Neodiprion lecontei: one gene and its partners. Each later gene encodes a partner of the first gene's protein in a complex. Links are inferred from orthologs where the notes say so. Each region holds a gene or a part of one and is shown in the gene's direction. Other genes may lie near its edges. The genes, in order: transcription initiation factor TFIID subunit 5, TATA-box-binding protein and transcription initiation factor TFIID subunit 1.

Region 1 (7,094 bases):
CGATAGTTTGCCGCAATTTAATGTTTTTAACCAACCTCCACGTGGTTCTACGATAATGACATCACTGTCCGTTATTATTATAACTATATAGCTGCTCTTAGCATTGAATTTTCATTTTTTACATTTCTTGTTCCGTCTCCCGCGTACTGAACTTTGTTTGTGAATATGCAAATATATGCGGTGCACATATGTGAACAAGTTATTAGCGAAAGGTGTTGTGGTGGAGTACTGGTGACCAGGAAATGAGTGGTACTTTTTTATGCTCACTCTAAGGTTACATATTGGGTATATGTATATGAGAGCTGCACCGTGGGAGTTACGAGTTGGATGCGAAAATCTTGCATTGTCAGAATTTCATAAATCTAGTGTACGATAATTACCGCAATTGTTTGTCTTTCGATATTTCGAACCTGATAACCGATACTCAAGTCTTACCACGATAACACGATAACAAATTCAGAGTCTTTCTTTCGTCCGGCTGAATGTAATAATGATGTGGGAATAGGAACGTTGCATTTACACTTCCTTTTGCGGTGCACGTGATTTGATTATCGTGTTGTTTGTGGCATTACGTTGTATCTCGCCTCAATTACGCTGTCCGGGATTTTTACCGGTCAACAATACTCATCGACTCGTTCTAAACTTACACCTGATGCCTGCTAAACGAGTTTGAAACTATTAATCGTGAATTTCATTGACTTGACGCGATTGATTACGATACGAGAAACTTCACAAAATCTCGAAGAAAAACTTCGCACTACAACTTGAAAGTAACACTGTTTACAGTAAACGATCTTCATACCTGCATCGCGTTAATTACAAAAACTTCTGCTCGATTGTCGAAGATAAAAAAGTCGTGCCAAGGCACTGTTCTTAAAAGATGCCGTGAAGTACGCTACTGATATCAAACCGCAATTTTCAAACATGGATAAGGCCTGATAATCAAAGGATTTTTTTTGTGCCAGTATTAATCCTCTAACGATAACCTTTCGCGTGAATCAGGTGAGATCATAAAAACAACGCGATTCAATCAATTATCCTAAATCTGTTGAAAATTCTTATCAATGGAGTAATCGGAATGAATTACTGATAAAGAGGAACGTTTGAATCAGGTTGTTAAGTGCAGCGGGACTTCGTGCTATACTACGCGATTAATGTTTTTGTTTTGCTTTAGAAATATATTTTAATAGCAGTGCATAAAAATAGAATACTGTACCATCCAACTATTGAGACCATGCAGGAACATACTAGAAACTACTGATTGAAATTTTCAGGCATCAGATGACAAGGAAAATAGTTAACGCTGAATAAATTTTCTTCCGTGTACGGCCATGAGATGCGCACGACGAATGCATCTAATTTTCAGGGGAATTCCCAAACGCGTTGAATTTCCTATTTGTGTAACTCTAGCCGGACGAATTGTACCATTATCTATTTCATTTTCCGCGTTCAATATATTTTCGTTCAGCGCAAAGATGGATACTAAAAACAAGTCGGAACCAAATAATCTCACCCTTACTTGGTGTGGTGGAAATTGCTTCTTCGGAAAGTTTGATGGGAGTTCCAATCGCCAGAGAGCCGATTGTACTCAAGACCACAATGATCGATTTGTAATTAGCAAACCGACTCATGGTGAGGGAAAACTGAGAGAAGTGCGCGGACCGAATTATAGATAAAACTGGTGGTCAATGCGCTCACGCAGCCGCTTTTAAACTAAAAACTAAAGGACGCCGGGTATTCCCTCCCAATCTGATCGTAGGTTCTTTCAGATCTTTCCCCCTCCTCCCCCCCCCCCCCTCCGCCCCACCCCACCGCCGCTTAGTTCACGTGCTTCTACCATAAGCGATTAATCTCAATTACGGTATAAGGATGGCTTGCGATCAAAATCGATGTTCTTTGTGCAGTTTAATATTCTTGCACCTAGGAAACTATTCGTAGGGAATGATCCGAGGATTTCGAGCATTGAGTTGTGTATTATTTTCATCTGACGAGATCTGCCTCTGACATACTTTCCGAAGTTCAGAAATAATATACATGCTATGTTTTCATCGCTTTATCTAGAATTTTTATTTTCATTCTCGCTATGTATAAAGAACTCCATGATAACTGCTTCGCGTCTTGATAAATTGAAAATTTTTCTATAATACAAGTTTCGGAATATAAATGCTCCAGCATGGCTCGATATCGAAAAATTAATAGAAAGATGTACAGATGACTTCTGTAGATCATTACGTGGATTAATTGTTTCTCAAATATGTGTTAGGCATAAGAATTTCAATACATCATTTGCTATGTGAATTCAGAAATTTGTACAACATATGTACAAAATATGTTAGAACGTGACATTCTCATCAATTGTAAAAAAGTCTAAGGCAGAATAATATTGCTGAGCTTTCTTGCACAGGTAATTCTAAGTTGTAATTCGTGTAAGACTTGTGCATTTATAAATTCTGATTATTTACTTATAATTGTTCCCGTTTGATTGTAATTTTATTGGATTTATTTCTATTCTCTATGAAAAATTGTTAATGGTATGTTGCTATCCCTGGCAGACGATGACCTACTACTACCACTCCATACATTCAAAATCTAGATACTGTATGTCGGACTGGCGTGGAAACGTCCTTTTACAAGTCGGGCAGTTTCCTACGCCTGCTTATGATGGAAGCGGCAACCAGACACGCAGCTAAGTTGAGGGTGTATTTTATTCAAGGGGCATGTTTCGGAGTCACCATATATCTGACTGGTCAGCATCGTCAGCATGTTGCGTGTCACATGCGCTAGACAAATGGGGCGGCGAAATTGATCGTGTCTCCGGATAGCTAGCATCCTCGTTCGCGTCTGACGATTTCGATTCCTCGGATCAAAATTTAAATCACAGACGCGGTGCAGACGGGAAAAAAAACCTGCAACCATGGACAACGAGAAAAGCACAATGCTTGCAGTATTGCAGCTGTTACGGAAATACAATTTAAAGGTAAGCGTTGACTTAACCTCAAATTGCAAATATGACATGTAAACAAAACTGTACCGTCAGATTAAAATACGCTTCGGCTTTCTCCCCAGGGTACCGAGGAGTTATTTAGAAAGGAAGCAAACTTGACGGATGTTTCAGCTGAGGATAGTCAACAAACTGATTCTGAAGTTAGCAGCGTACTATCAGCTTACAAAAGCGAGGGTGATCCAGCGCTGTATGAGAAAGCCTATACCGAACTTAAGAAATTCGTCGAAGGAGCTCTGGATATTTACAAGGTTTGCGATAAGCGATCAATTCTTTGTGCATTTTTGTCCGACCTTATCTTACATTTACTTTCGCTTTCTGTAGCATGAACTTGGCACAATATTGTATCCGGTATTGGTTCACATGTACCTGGAACTTGTTTACAACAACCATTCAGGAGAAGCAAAACAGCTGCTGGAGAAGTTCAGTGGTAATTTGGAGGAATATTACCAGGAGGATCTGAAGCGATTGTCAAATGTCACAAAACGGGAACAGATTGCTGGTAATGAGCTGACGGATACTTTCAAGTGAGGATCAGAGCTATGGGGTTGATAAGAAAAGTAAGCTGTACAGGTAAATTTGTGACAGAAAATGACGATTACTTTCTTACAGGTCTAACCAGTTTATTATAAGGATGTCCCGAGACACGCTTTCCATACTCAAGCGGCATCTTCAAGAGAAAAAACATAGCATTTTGCTCAATATTATTCAAGAGCATCTTTACTTTGATATGTACGAAGGTGTCGCTCGGAACAAGCAACAGATTGAAGCAACGTCAGGCGCTGTTGTGGGGGAAGCTACGCGGCAAGGTATAATTTGAAAGCAATCAATGGTCTATGTCTTAAATTTGTTCAAATATCTGATCTTCAACTTCAAGGATTCCTTTCAATTCCATAGATAACAAGGCTAAAGTCTATTATGGGCTTTTAAAGGAACCAGATATTCAGTGCGTCCCGCCGGCTGAGGAAGAAGAAGACGATGGCGGTGGGGAGGGAGGAGATAAACCAAAGAAAAAGAAAGCAAAAAAAGATCCACTCTTTTCTAAGAAAACTAAATCAGACCCTAATGCACCTCCGGTCGGAAGAATGCCCCTACCAAATTTGTTAGTTTATTTTTGCACTTTGTTGATTCTAATCGATTTGACTTTGTATCGCTGCTTAAAAAGATTGATCGTATTTAGGAAAGATGCTGATAAACTGGAGAAGGTTAAAGCATTGAGAGAGGCTTCAAAGAGAGTGGTATTGGGGCCAGACAGTCTTCCGTCAATATGCTTCTATACTTTATTGAATTCAGTACACAGGTACGACTTATATTAAATATTTTAAATCATATCGATGATTCAATGACACTTTCGCTCATATAATTGCAGCGTTACTGCTGCAGAAGTCGCAGAAGATTCCAGTTTGCTGGCCATTGGCTTCAGTGATTCCGCAGTAAAAGTATGGAGCCTGGTTCCACAAAAATTAAGACTGATGAAAAGTGGGGATCAATTACAAGACATCGACCGCGAAGCTGGTACTCGCGACTCTTTCTCCTTTCAAAAAAATCTGCCTCTGGCTTTTCTAAGTTAATGTTTTTGCTGTTATCTTTAATCTGAATAATTCTCTTAAGACGATGTACTTGTGAGAATGATGGACGACAGGACAGCTGAATCGTCGAGAACCCTATATGGACACAGCGGACCTATTTATAGTTTGTCGTTTAGCCCAGACAGAAATTTACTACTATCTTCATCAGAGGACACCACAGGTGAGCATGACACAGTGAACATCAAGGTTCAGTTTTTATCAATGTATAAATATTGGTGATAATTGTCTTAAATATTCTACGAAAAAGTATCATCTTTTCTTAGTTTGCTCAACAATTTGCTCAACCTGACATTTCTCTTCTCGGTTCCAGTAAGGCTATGGTCTCTTCATACGTGGACCTGTGTTGTTTGCTACAAGGGTCACCTGTTCCCTGTTTGGTCAGTGAGATTCTCACCACATGGTTACTATTTCGCGACAGGTTCCCACGACAAGACTGCAAGACTCTGGGCAACTGACGCTCATCAGCCTCTCCGAATTTTTTCCGGGCATTACTCAGATGTCGATGTAAGTTGCATTTAATTAATTTTCGTACAATGCGAATCTAACTCCTTGTTGTCCTTTCCATCCTTAGGTCGTACAATTCCATCCAAATTCAAATTACGTTGCTACGGGATCCAGCGACCGGACAGTCAGACTGTGGGACTGTGTTACTGGAGGTCAGGTGCGGTTGATGACCGGCCACAAAGGTCCGATATATTCCCTAGCATTTTCCGCGGAAGGTCGCTTCCTGGCGACTGCGGGTGCCGATAACAGAGTCCTGATTTGGGATTTAGCGCACGGACATTTGGTCGCAGCCTTATCCAGCCATACAGCCACAGTACATTGCTTGTTCTTCAGTAGAGACGGTAATATCTTAGTGTCAGGATCCCTCGATTCGACACTGAAGCTTTGGGACTTTACCAAACTTGCTGAAGAAATGAGCTTGGAGGACGTTAACGTCTCGCATAATCCTGACGTCAAAACATGCGTCGAGACCTACCTCCTACGAACTTTTCCGACAAAAAATTCACCCGTTCTCACCCTCCACTTTTCGCGAAGAAATCTTCTACTAGCAGTCGGTATGTTCGAAGTATCTTAGACCAGTCCGGTTCTTCCAGTGCTCGCGATTGTCAGTGTGAATTTCAGAATGAGTAAGAGTTCATTGAACCTAAGTGTGAGGTTTAAAATTGTTTCATACTAAATGAACAATCCAGATCGAGCTTAATATTCATTTTTTAAGCTGTAACCTCTTACAATTCTATAAAATAGCAATATTTTGATAATTTTGTTAGATGTGTTATACTTCACAAAACTGTTGTATAAAATTTGGATCAGAGGTGTAAAGGATGCGAGAAAGAAGACAATACAACAAATTTAAATGATTAACGTTATTTACTCGTTAATTGCGAAAATGTATAGTATCACTTTACATTATAGTTTCACGAAATAATTACTCACGTAAATTCACAACGATTATTGTTAGATCAGCTTCATCGACCAATCATCTTCTAGCCCCTAAATACTTTAGCTCACTGAATAACACGGTATTATATTTTGTAATACATTTACATTAATATATTTATTAAATAAGAATCTACAGTAATGGGATGGATAAAATGAGAATTTTGTTAAAACTGAGTAATGAGCGTATGCTGATCCATGGAAAAGGAAAATTTTTCGCCGATAATACACAGCAGACTAGTACATTAAGAGCAGGAATATAATTTTTCATCGAATCTAACATTACAGGGGAATGCTTGCCTTGCGAGATTAGGTAACTGATTTCAAATTATAACCACGCATTATCGTTCTGTTCATATTTCCACATGAAAAGGCAGACCATTCTCAATAACGGTACGATAAAATTGTGATAGTACTTCTTTCAAAAATTTAGCGAGCTAAATTTAGGCGGTGGGGTTGCGGAATTTCTCTCCAGCATATTTCGCAGCAGCTCCAAGCTCCTCTTCAATACGAAGAATCTGGTTGTACTTTGCAAGACGCTCCGAGCGGCATGGGGCTCCGGTTTTAATCTGGCCGGTAGAAAGACCAACTACTAGATCAGCAATGAAGGTGTCCTCAGTTTCTCCCGATCGATGAGACACCATGGTTCCCCATCCGTTGCTCTTCGCTAGCTTGTGAGCATTGATAGATTCGGTAACACTACCAATTTGGTTGACCTTCAGCAGCAAACAGTTGCAGGCTTTGGAGTCGACAGCCTTCTGGATGCTAAGAAAAAAAATTTGATTAGTGAATAAGCAAAAAAAAAAAAAACTCGTCACGAATTTTATTGAAATAAACACAAAGTTTATGTTGAGAAGCCGAAGATATATTTGAGATAACTCACCGGATGGGATTAGTCACTGTGAGATCGTCTCCAACGATCTGAATAGGTGTTGCAGCAGTGATAGAGGTCCAAGATGCCCAATCATCTTGGTCAAACGGATCCTCAATTGAGACAATTGGGAACTCTTTAACGAAGTCAAGGTACAGATTTTGCAGAGCCTGTGGCTCTAGGAATTTGCTAG
Region 2 (4,942 bases), about 29 Mb from region 1:
TGAACCTTGAAATTTTCCATTGATTAGTTTGACAAGGAGAGCATGATGTACATAAAAATTTATACATTCATTTGAGTTGATAAGAATTGGTTTATTTATATTTTTAGAGTAACAGAAAAAATCAGTTCGCAGCTTATTTTTTATAGATAGGATTAATCTTCTGGTTTTTCTGGAGGTGGGCCACAAGGCTGCAGCATTTTCTCCATCAGATTAAATCTGACGCGTGCCTTGGCTTCGTTTTCAGCTAGCGCAAAAAAATTTAGAAGGTCGTAATGCCCCATGTAAGAGCTACATGAATCTCTGTGCTGATTAACCAACCATTCAAATTTCGTTGTGTCTGCATGACCTGTCCCAATGTACTTGGATTGAAGATGTTCCAGCTGACTATGGATATTGTAACGTTCCCCCATTCCTAAATTGAACAATAACAAAATGCGTGATACATAACCTCGAAATTATAGGTTAGCGCTATTAATGGGACGCAATATTCCATAAATTCATTTATCACCGTCTGTCGTATGGCCGAATGTACTCTTGCAATATGTAATGTCAGTTATACTTCACAATATTAACAATTACTAAAATAGTGAAAAATTTCACTTGATATACTTTTCTACTTACTTTTGACAACGCTCTTGATAAGTTTCTAGTACACTTCTTGGTCTCTCTTATAAATGATTAACGAGATCAGTTTTCTAATGTATGTACAAGATTAACTACTTGGTTTTCACAAAAGTTTTGTTGATGTATGTATGCAGGTCCAGATGCCGAGTCCGTATTTTTATCAGTTTTGACACAAAACTAGACAGATATTGTCGAACGTTACAAATCACGCTTCGTCTTGAAACCATAGACTTATAAAGATAGACTAAGCGCTCCTAGAAGAGGCACTGACAATCACATATAAGGGACAGAGATATATCAGGACTACTGCTCTCACTTTTCAATTGGCGTCATGGTGGAAGACAACGGAGCAGTGGAAGTGGAACAGCTGTAGATATAGGCGCATAATTTCGCCTCATTCTCCTCTATCGCCTCGATCCCAGCCCCAAATATCGTCAGAGAGAGAAGGGAGTCTCCCGGCATATTTCTGTCCTTTAAATGTTTGCTTCAAGCGGCTCATAAGACCGCTCAGTCTATCTTTATAAGTCTATGCTTAAAACTGATGATGCACAGATAGTGGTCAAGCTGACCGCATTCAACCTATCTCTCTCACTCCGGATTGATCTTTGGCATACCTGCAACCAATGCCACTTCGGTAGAAAAACTACACTAGCAACGCTAGTAGTACAGAAAATAACCCTAATGTGTACAATTACTGAAGACAAGTTTTGTCCGTCTTGTGTTGGGTGTTTGGTCAGTTCCCTGACACACGCTGCTAAAAGTGGTTCGCAAAATGTCCCTCGATTCTGCCGCCAATCTCCACCACTAGTGGCGCTAGTAGTTGTCTGAAAAGCGTGCGCGCGGTCTACGAAGGCAGCGAGGGTGTCAGAAGTTTACTAGCGCCACGTAGGGGAACTAAAAAACGGGGACAAAACGCATACAATTTTTTAGTATACGAGCAGTGGCGAGTGTCAGGGGGCTGGTGTTTGGCTCTATTTGCGACCTGAAAAAAAAAGGAAAATGATCATCATTCTCACAATGTCCACCACCGCTGTAGGTTAGCTGGTGACGTTAAGATCTTGGCCGTGTTCGTAAATTGACTAACAGTACTCAAAATTCCCTAGGACAGAGTCAGAGCTATTCACGAACTGGGAAGCGCAAAAGAGATGAAAGATTGCTGACAGTACTGTCAGTCAATTTTCGAACACGGCCCTTATCTTACTCATCCTCACAGACGCATAAGGCCCCTGGCGGATTTCCGTCGTACTAAGACAAAATAATCACAGTAACCGAGGGCCAGTTGGACCACCTCTTATTCTTACACCGTGCCCCCCTCCCCCCCCCCCCCCTCCCCCGCCGCCAATCTAACCTATCCTGAGCTAACCTAACCCATCCTCTTGTACAGAATTATTGTTGATACCTTAACCGAAAATGGTGTCTGTTGAAAAATGAGTACAGGATCTCCCTAACTTCGGAATAGCTCATATATTAGAAGAATGAATTTGTGATATTAAATTTAAGTATGTGATTTTGTATGAATGTGTCGGCGAAGTATTAGATTATCAATATAACAGGGTAACGACACTGCACTTTCGCAAATCAACATTACTTGGTCATCAAAGTAATGTGCTAACTGGCCTTAGTTACCAAGTTCACTCGATTATCAAGATTGCACATAGTGGCAAATTATAAAATTTGTATTAAATTGAAATTTACATAAACATCCACGATGGATCAAATGCTCCCGAGTCCGGGATTCAGCATCCCGAGTATCGGCACACCGTTACATCAACCTGAAGAGGATCAACAAATATTGCCGAATGCGCTACAACAACAACAACAAGTCCAACAAAATCAACTACAGCAAATGCATCCGATGGGTTCAAACGTACACGGAATGCCAATGTTGGGTACACCGCACAAAACTATGCACACTTATGCTCCGGCATTCGCAACGCCGCAAAGTCTTATGCAGCCACAAACACCGGTAAACACTATCTATTATTTCACTCGCTTTTTCACCAACTAATGTTATAAAAGTTCTTAACCACTTAAGGATGATGTTTTGCTATTATTTTTTCATAGCAAAATATGATGTCGCCTATGGTTCAACCAGCAAGTCAAATAGCTCCCCCTTCAATCGGACCGTCAACTCCAGGCCCGATGACACCAATGACGCCTGCTTCCGCTGATCCTGGAATTCTACCCCAGCTTCAGTATGTTCCCATTGGCTACTGAATGTCTGTTACTATTTGTTAAATTCCTAATTATTCCTTAGGAACATTGTGTCAACGGTGAATCTCAACTGCAAGCTTAACTTGAAGGAAATTGCGCTACATGCTAGAAACGCCGAGTATAATCCGAAACGATTTGCAGCAGTTATAATGAGGATAAGAGAACCCAGAACTACCGCCTTGATATTCAGCAGCGGAAAAATGGTATGTACCGGCGCTAAAAGTGAAGAGGACTCTCGCCTGGCTGCAAGAAAATATGCACGTATCATACAGAAGCTTGGATTTCCAGTGAGTACTTGTATGTTGTCAAATTTCATATGATGAGATCCGTTTCCTGTACGAAACTTATTAAATTTTTATTAGGCTAAATTTCTGGATTTCAAAATTCAAAATATGGTTGGAAGCTGCGATGTCAAATTCCCCATCAGATTAGAAGGACTTGTATTAACGCACGGCCAATTCTCTTCGTATGAACCAGAACTATTCCCTGGCTTGATATATCGAATGGTTAAACCCCGTATCGTGTTGCTTATATTTGTTTCTGGCAAAGTTGTATTGACTGGTGAGTAATTAATCAAGAAAATCCAATGAAATATTCACAGCTTTTCGCTTGATATGAAATTATTTCTGATATTTCCGATAAATCCTTCACATTTGTCCTGCTAATAAGTTACCATTTGTCCCCAAATAGAGATTACAGTTTGCTGATCATTGTGAATACATGAGCAGTGCTTTCCAATTATTTCATGTCCAGTAATTGTAGTAATACATACCGATAATAATATTCTTGTTACCAACAGGTGCAAAAGTACGGCAAGAAATTTATGAAGCTTTCGATAACATATATCCAATTCTGAAGAGTTTTAAGAAGCAGTGATTCCCAACTGAATCTGACGATATTTTTGATACCCCGATGAAAGAATAGTCTTCTAAAATCTTTTTATTAATGCTGCTATTTGCAGAGGTGTACAGAACGACGAGTGTTCGTTATTTGTTAAAAAAGAATAACTGAAATAGCAACTACTGAAAATGTTACTGTACAAGACAATTGACATGAAGTACTATCGGTTTTTTGCGAGCACTTATATATTCTTACAGGCTGACAGGTGCCTTATGCCGCAAAGCCGTTATCTTTTATGAACAATTCTTAGATTAAGCTGTTGATTCTGGGCTTTGCCGTTAAGTAATGAAAAATAAAGTTAGTGTACCAAGTATTTTACGAATCTACTATTCCAAACCTCCCAGTAAATCAAATTTAACAAATGTGTGAAATTCAAATACACTGTAAAGGAATCAACTATGAGCACAGTTTTTTGAGAAAAGAATATGTGTTATACATAGCAGTGAATACGACATGTATTTACTGTTTCACTGCGTAGCGAGAGTTTATGAAGTAGAACTAACGGTTTCTTCTGTAAATGTTGTCTGAGTCATAGAGTTATCCAGCCTTTTTCTTATTGCTGCGACATTTTCTTTTTTTTTTTTCCTTTCAAGATGATTATTCTTTCGAATCAGATTCTGATATCTTCTGTGTTGATTCTATGATGTAGGAATAAAAATTAGATTTCATGTACCATACATCACCCGTAATAGAGAGCTGTTTAGAACAGAATTAAATTTACCTCTTTTTTCTTGAGATTCCTGTCTAGTTAACTCTACTGTTGGCAGCGAAGGTTGAGTCTCTTCGATATATAGCTCTGTAGTTTGTTCTAGAAGCTCGCTCTCTTCATGTTTTACTGCAACTGTTGGTTCTGGGTGTTCAAGTTCATCGGCCTTAGGTATTAACAAAGAAAATAATGATTGACGTTAAATTTCAGCTTTGGTCATCCAATCAAACAGGATGCATTTCGAATTCGAATAATTAAATATCTTACCGATACCTGGGATTGCATAATCAGTTGAGAAATATCTGTGAACACCTTGGTTGCATGTTCTCGTATATCCTGTTTCTCATCATCGCTAGTATTGTCTGGCAGATTGCTCAAGAGGTGATTTGTTGCAGCAGTTACTCCGTCTTCTTCTGCCAACAATTCAACTAACAAATCTTGAAGAATAGTAATATCTATCCCAGTTTCTTTGTCTATTCCAATATCATCGAGCAATTT
Region 3 (5,539 bases), about 42 Mb from region 1:
AGCCGAAAATTTTTGGTCTCAGATTCGATTTGTACGACCATTTCCTGCCTAATTGGACCGCCAGGAACTCAGAAACTGCAGCGAAAAGACCGTGGGATCAACAGGAGAGAAATTCCGAAGGAAAAAGCACCCGCTGAAAAACGTCGAAAACACAGGTTCTGGTTTTTTGGCTGTAACTTTTGATCTGTTGCTCGCAGCGTATCGGGACTGCGCCCAGTCGATTTCTCTCGCAAAATTACGTCGGAATAGTGCACGAAAGAATTTATTCCAGCACTTTTCAAAATCGCGAAGATTTTCGCCAAAAATGCAAAGGGGTTAGCCTTACTTTTTCTTCATTTTTGGAGCCGAAAATTTTTGGTCTCAGATTCGATTTGTACGACCATTTCCTGCCTAATTGGACCGCCAGGAACTCAGAAACTGCAGCGAAAAGACCGTGGGATCAACAGGAGAGAAATTCCGAAGGAAAAAGCACCCGCTGAAAAACGTCGAAAACACAGGTTCTGGTTTTTTGGCTGTAACTTTTGATCTGTTGCTCGCAGCGTATCGGGACTGCGCCCAGTCGATTTCTCTCGCAAAATTACGTCGGAATAGTGCACGAAAGAATTTATTCCAGCACTTTTCAAAATCGCGAAGATTTTCGCCAAAAATGCAAAGGGGTTAGCCTTACTTTTTCTTCATTTTTGGAGCCGAAAATTTTTGGTCTCAGATTCGATTTGTACGACCATTTCCTGCCTAATTGGACCGCCAGGAACTCAGAAAATGCAGCGAAAAGAGCGTGGGATCAACAGGAGAGAAATTACGAAGGAGAAAGCACCTGCTGAAAAATGTCGAAAACACAGGTTCTCGTTTTTCGGCTCTAACTTTTGATCTGTTGCTCGCAGCGTATCGGGACTGCGCCCAATCGGTTTCTCTCGCAAAATTACGTCGGAATAGTGCATGAAAGAATTTATTCCAGCACTTTTCAAAATCGCGATAATTTTCGCCAAAAATGCAAAGATATAGCCTTTATACTTTATTTTTCAGCGAAAAATCTTTCGTCTCAGAACCATTTTGTGTGACCATTTCTTGACTAATTGGACCCCTGGAATGCAGAAAACGCACTCAGAAGAGCGTGGAACGTTCTTCGGCTGCAACTATCGATATGTACCGTAGCTCGCAGCGTATTCTATAGAGTTTGTTTATCAGCTGTATGAGTATAATAGCTATTCGAGGTATAAGATAATATTCCAATTACTCTATTTATTGTAGAATGGTAATGCATGTAATGCATTTAAGCGAGTCAAGTATTGTTGCCATTTCATATTATTATTCATTGTTTTGATGAAACGCCCTGGACACCCTCCATCATTTTCAGTATGGGCTATGCGGTAATAAGCGTATGAATAGGCGGCGTCTCAATCATGCACGAATTCATGGTTGTGGAAGCATGAGAATCAATTAGATTTTTTTCTCACCTTGAAAAATCGCTACATTTTATGTGATTTCCTTTTCGTTCCCCCATTTATTCCGTTTTTTCCACTGCCAATCAAAAATTCTAGATTTTTAAATCCTTGGGATAAAAACGCAACTGAGAACCACTGTCTCAACTACCTAGTTCAAAACTCGTGGCATTTCACCGTTTCGTCGTATCTATTTTCACTAGCGACCACGGTCTTTATGATCGGTCTGTGTACTCCGGCTGTAAAACCGTGCTCGAAAATGAAGCCGATGTTGTGAATTTTTGCCGCTAGCGCTAGTGAGGGAGAGGCCTACTTAATACGCATACACCTGCCTCGGAGATTGCAGCGCTCCGGTCTTTGGTGCACAAATTGAGAAACACAGGCTTCAAGTCGGTCACGCTGCGTTATATAGGAAGGGAATTGGAGTGCCCAAACCTGTTTATAAGACCGTGCTCGCGACCTTTTGCCACCAACGGCATGGTGTTTTTGCGTCAACTTCACGCCCGTGAAAATCCAGCCTCATCATCATAGTTTATTATTCACTGCATTTACCCTACTGCGATGGTAAATCTATTTCGCTTATCACAGTGGCTTATCAGCATGCGTCTGCAAATGAAAATTAGTTCTAAGAATCTGTTTTGCATCAGATGGCGCCAACACTCTAAAAAAACTAGCGTAAACTAGACAACGCTTTAAAAACGGGATATGATTGCGAGTAATGTTGCTAAACAAGGGGTGAGCTTTTGATTTCCCAAGTTCAATTTATTACGTACACATTGACAAGACGTTATAGGTGCGAAATTAATATTCGTAAAATACGATTAAAAACTAAAAAACTAAATTAATGTATCAATACAGGATAGTAATCCCCGCTTGTAAAGCCAACCATCTAACCTCAAAATAGTTAATCTTTACTGATTCAAAGCCACCGTTTCTCAAAAACACACTCATTTGTATCTGCTGAAAATGGTTGACTCAGACGAGGAAAACGACAGAGACATGGATCTGGAAATGAATATGACTGGATTTTTATTTGGCAACATTGATGAAGATGGTCAGTTGGAGGATGATATATTAGATTCCGAGGCGAAGCGCCATTTGGCTTCCCTGGGTCGCCTCGGCCTTAGCAGTTTACTGCAGGAAATGATTGCTCTAGACAATGAGGAACAGAATGAAAAAGAAAATGAGAAAGGAGAAAATGAAGATGAAAATAAAACACGTGTCAAATCCGAGTCTGACGATGTCAACTATCTAGAAAAATCTCCAACAGCGTTGGATTTCTCTGATATTAACGAATTAGCTGAAGACATAAACGAAGATGATGCAGAAGCGTCCTCCAAGAAACAGGATAGGGCAGCCAGTGACTACGATGCAGATGATGAGGAGGGAGTCAATAAATCTGACACTCAGTTAATGCCTCCTCCGCCCATTCCAGATGAAAAAGAAGCTCTGACCCCTGAAGAGGCAGAAGCTGCTCGCCAGCGTAAGCTTGAAACGCCCTTGGCTTCCATGCTGCCTTCCAAATATGCAAATATCAACGTTACGGAATTGTTTCCTGATTTTCGCCCCAATAAGGTCCTTAGGTTCTCGCGACTTTTTGGCCCTGGCAAACCTAGCAGCCTTCCGCAAATTTGGCGGGGTGTTCGAAAACGGCGGAAAAAGAAGAAACACCACGATCCGAAGGATTCAGACTCGGGATCTGATCACGACGAGAGGAAACCTAAGTTCAAGGTACAATAAATATTGAAAAGCTTTTAATTAGCTGAAAATGTAGTTAGGTACTCTTCTACTAAGCAATTTTGACATTAGAAAATGTTTTAAAAGCTGTGAGAAATATCACAAATTTGAGAATTTAAGTCAATCTTCCAACAGGGGTGGAAAATGCATTACGCACCGACTCCATCGCCAGATGAATGTATCCCAGATGATGAAGAAAAGTTATTGCTTCCCGTCGAAGACAAGGAACAAACTGGTAAAACTGGCGACATGGGAGACAGCAATGACATGGGTCCAAAAGTTGCAGACTGGCGCTTCGGTCCAGCCCAAATTTGGTATGACATGTTGGAAGTCCCAGAGACTGGTGACGGCTTTAATTATGGGTTCAAACTTGCGGAGAAAACTGAAGAAGTCTGCAAGTCAAAAGATGAGGATACATTTCCAGACGATTCCTTTCTTATGGTGTCTCAACTGCATTGGGAGGATGATGTCGTGTGGAATGGTGATGATATAAAACATAAAGTGATGCAAAAATTAAATAGCAAGAATAATGCTGCTGGTTGGGTACCTTCGAGCAGTAACAGAACTGCTCAGGCCTTCAGCCAGCCAGGAAAAGGAACTCCTGTTCCTGTAGCACCTAACGTTCGACTTGCTACATCGCAAATAGCGACTCCTCTGCACATGCAGTCTAAGAGTAAACTTGCATCGATGGGTAAAGGCAGCCAGCAGCAACAGCGTGAAGAAAACTATGACGATACTTGGTACTCTATTTTCCCTGTGGAGAATGAGGAGTTAGTTTACGGACTCTGGGAAGAGGAAGTTATCTGGGATGCTGAGCACATGACGAAAATACCGAAACCAAAGATTCTCACCCTAGATCCAAACGATGAAAACATTGTATTGGGAATACCGGATGACATAGACCCAGCTCTTCTTCATAAAGACAATGGGCCTCAACCTAAGGTAAAAATCCCACACCCTCATGTGAAAAAAAGCAAACTTTTGCTGGGTAAAGCAGGAGTTATCAACGTTCTTGAAGAGGATGCTCCGCCTCCACCTCCAAAGTCTCCCGATAGAGATCCATTCAACATATCAAATGACTCTTACTACATGCCTCGCTCTTCGGAAACAACATTACGATTAAAAGTTGGCGGTGGCAATTTAATACAGCATAGCACACCGGTCGTAGAATTGCGAGCACCTTTCGTACAGACACACATGGGACCTATGAGACTGAGGAATTTCCATAGACCTCCGTTAAAGAGGTACAGTCACGGACCTCTGTCTCACACTGGTCCCCACCACGTGTTGCCTCTCCTCAAGCACATCAAGAAGAAAGCTAAGCAAAGAGAACAGGAGAGAATTGCCTCGGGAGGTGGAGATGTCTTCTTCATGAGGACACCTGAAGATTTGACTGGAAGAGATGGGGAAATTGTTCTCATTGAGTTTTCTGAGGAACATCCACCTCTGATGAATCAAGTTGGAATGTGCTCCAAAGTCAAGAATTACTACAAACGAAGAGCTGGAAAGGATCAAGGGCCTATGCGTTACAAATATGGAGAGGTCGCTTATGCGCACACCAGCCCATTTTTGGGCATCTTAACACCTGGCCAAAGTATTCAGGCTATTGAAAATAACATGTACAGGGCCCCGATTTATGAACACAATGGTCCAGAGACTGATTTCTTGATAATAAGGACAAGGTACAGCTGCTTCAAAGGTTGTTGTAGAAATAGAATCACTCTAATCACTGGTCTAAACATTGCCCATTTTTCAGACAGCAATATTTCGTGAGGGAAATAGATGCCTTATTTATTGCTGGACAAGAGTGTCCGTTGTATGAAGTTCCTGGTCCAAATTCCAAACGAGCAAACAACTTTGTAAGAGATTTCTTGCAAGTTTTCATATATAGATTATTCTGGAAATCTCGTGACACTCCTAGGCGAATCAAAATGGATGATATTAAAAAAGCATTCCCATCGCATAGTGAAAGCAGTATAAGAAAGAGACTGAAGCTTTGCGCTGATTTTAAAAGAACAGGTACATTTCACTCTGTATCAGCCTCGTAAAATTTCCTTACATATTTCTATCAAATTCTGCAAAGAATAGTATTATTAAAAAATTTGTGATTTGTTACCTTCGTTTTTTAAACTAGGAATGGACTCAAATTGGTGGGTAATCAAGCCAGACTTCAGACTGCCGACTGAGGAAGAAATCAGAGCTATGGTTTCTCCGGAGCAGTGTTGCGCCTATTTTAGTATGATCGCAGCCGAACAGAGACTTAAAGATGCTGGGTATGGTGAAAAGTTTTTGTTCACACCTCAGGATGACGACGATGAAGAAATGCAGTTGAAAATGGATGATGAAGTCAAAGTTGCACCCTG

The links.
Region 2: transcription initiation factor TFIID subunit 5 (region 1) and TATA-box-binding protein share a complex: the UniProt entries of both Caenorhabditis elegans proteins name them as parts of the TFIID basal transcription factor complex. The link is inferred for Neodiprion lecontei from reciprocal best matches to the Caenorhabditis elegans genes taf-5 and tbp-1.
Region 3: transcription initiation factor TFIID subunit 5 (region 1) and transcription initiation factor TFIID subunit 1 share a complex: the UniProt entries of both Caenorhabditis elegans proteins name them as parts of the TFIID basal transcription factor complex. The link is inferred for Neodiprion lecontei from reciprocal best matches to the Caenorhabditis elegans genes taf-5 and taf-1.

The regions. Positions count from the first base shown.
Region 1 is NC_060261.1:43,189,251-43,196,344, forward strand, and holds transcription initiation factor TFIID subunit 5, read left to right. Parts: upstream 1-2,550; 5' UTR 2,551-2,914; coding exon 2,915-2,977; intron 2,978-3,066; coding exon 3,067-3,252; intron 3,253-3,325; coding exon 3,326-3,528; intron 3,529-3,613; coding exon 3,614-3,810; intron 3,811-3,898; coding exon 3,899-4,103; intron 4,104-4,181; coding exon 4,182-4,301; intron 4,302-4,370; coding exon 4,371-4,516; intron 4,517-4,612; coding exon 4,613-4,750; intron 4,751-4,900; coding exon 4,901-5,094; intron 5,095-5,161; coding exon 5,162-5,668; 3' UTR 5,669-6,443; downstream 6,444-7,094. Other genes in the region: peptidoglycan-recognition protein SC2, read right to left, coding at 1,514-1,631; enolase, read right to left, coding at 6,474-6,795, 6,914-7,094. UniProt on the Caenorhabditis elegans protein: The TFIID basal transcription factor complex plays a major role in the initiation of RNA polymerase II (Pol II)-dependent transcription.
Region 2 is NC_060261.1:14,535,189-14,540,130, reverse strand, and holds TATA-box-binding protein, read left to right. Parts: upstream 1-1,970; 5' UTR 1,971-2,332; coding exon 2,333-2,590; intron 2,591-2,688; coding exon 2,689-2,819; intron 2,820-2,881; coding exon 2,882-3,125; intron 3,126-3,200; coding exon 3,201-3,399; intron 3,400-3,637; coding exon 3,638-3,714; 3' UTR 3,715-4,051; downstream 4,052-4,942. Other genes in the region: splicing factor 3B subunit 5, read right to left, coding at 153-410; cilia- and flagella-associated protein 44, read right to left, coding at 4,336-4,376, 4,460-4,610, 4,712-4,942. UniProt on the Caenorhabditis elegans protein: The TFIID basal transcription factor complex plays a major role in the initiation of RNA polymerase II (Pol II)-dependent transcription.
Region 3 is NC_060261.1:1,233,775-1,239,313, reverse strand, and holds the start of transcription initiation factor TFIID subunit 1, read left to right. Parts: upstream 1-1,920; 5' UTR 1,921-2,174; exon of another isoform or gene 2,175-2,297; 5' UTR 2,298-2,405; coding exon 2,406-3,170; intron 3,171-3,311; coding exon 3,312-4,858; intron 4,859-4,932; coding exon 4,933-5,195; intron 5,196-5,310; coding exon 5,311-5,539. UniProt on the Caenorhabditis elegans protein: The TFIID basal transcription factor complex plays a major role in the initiation of RNA polymerase II (Pol II)-dependent transcription.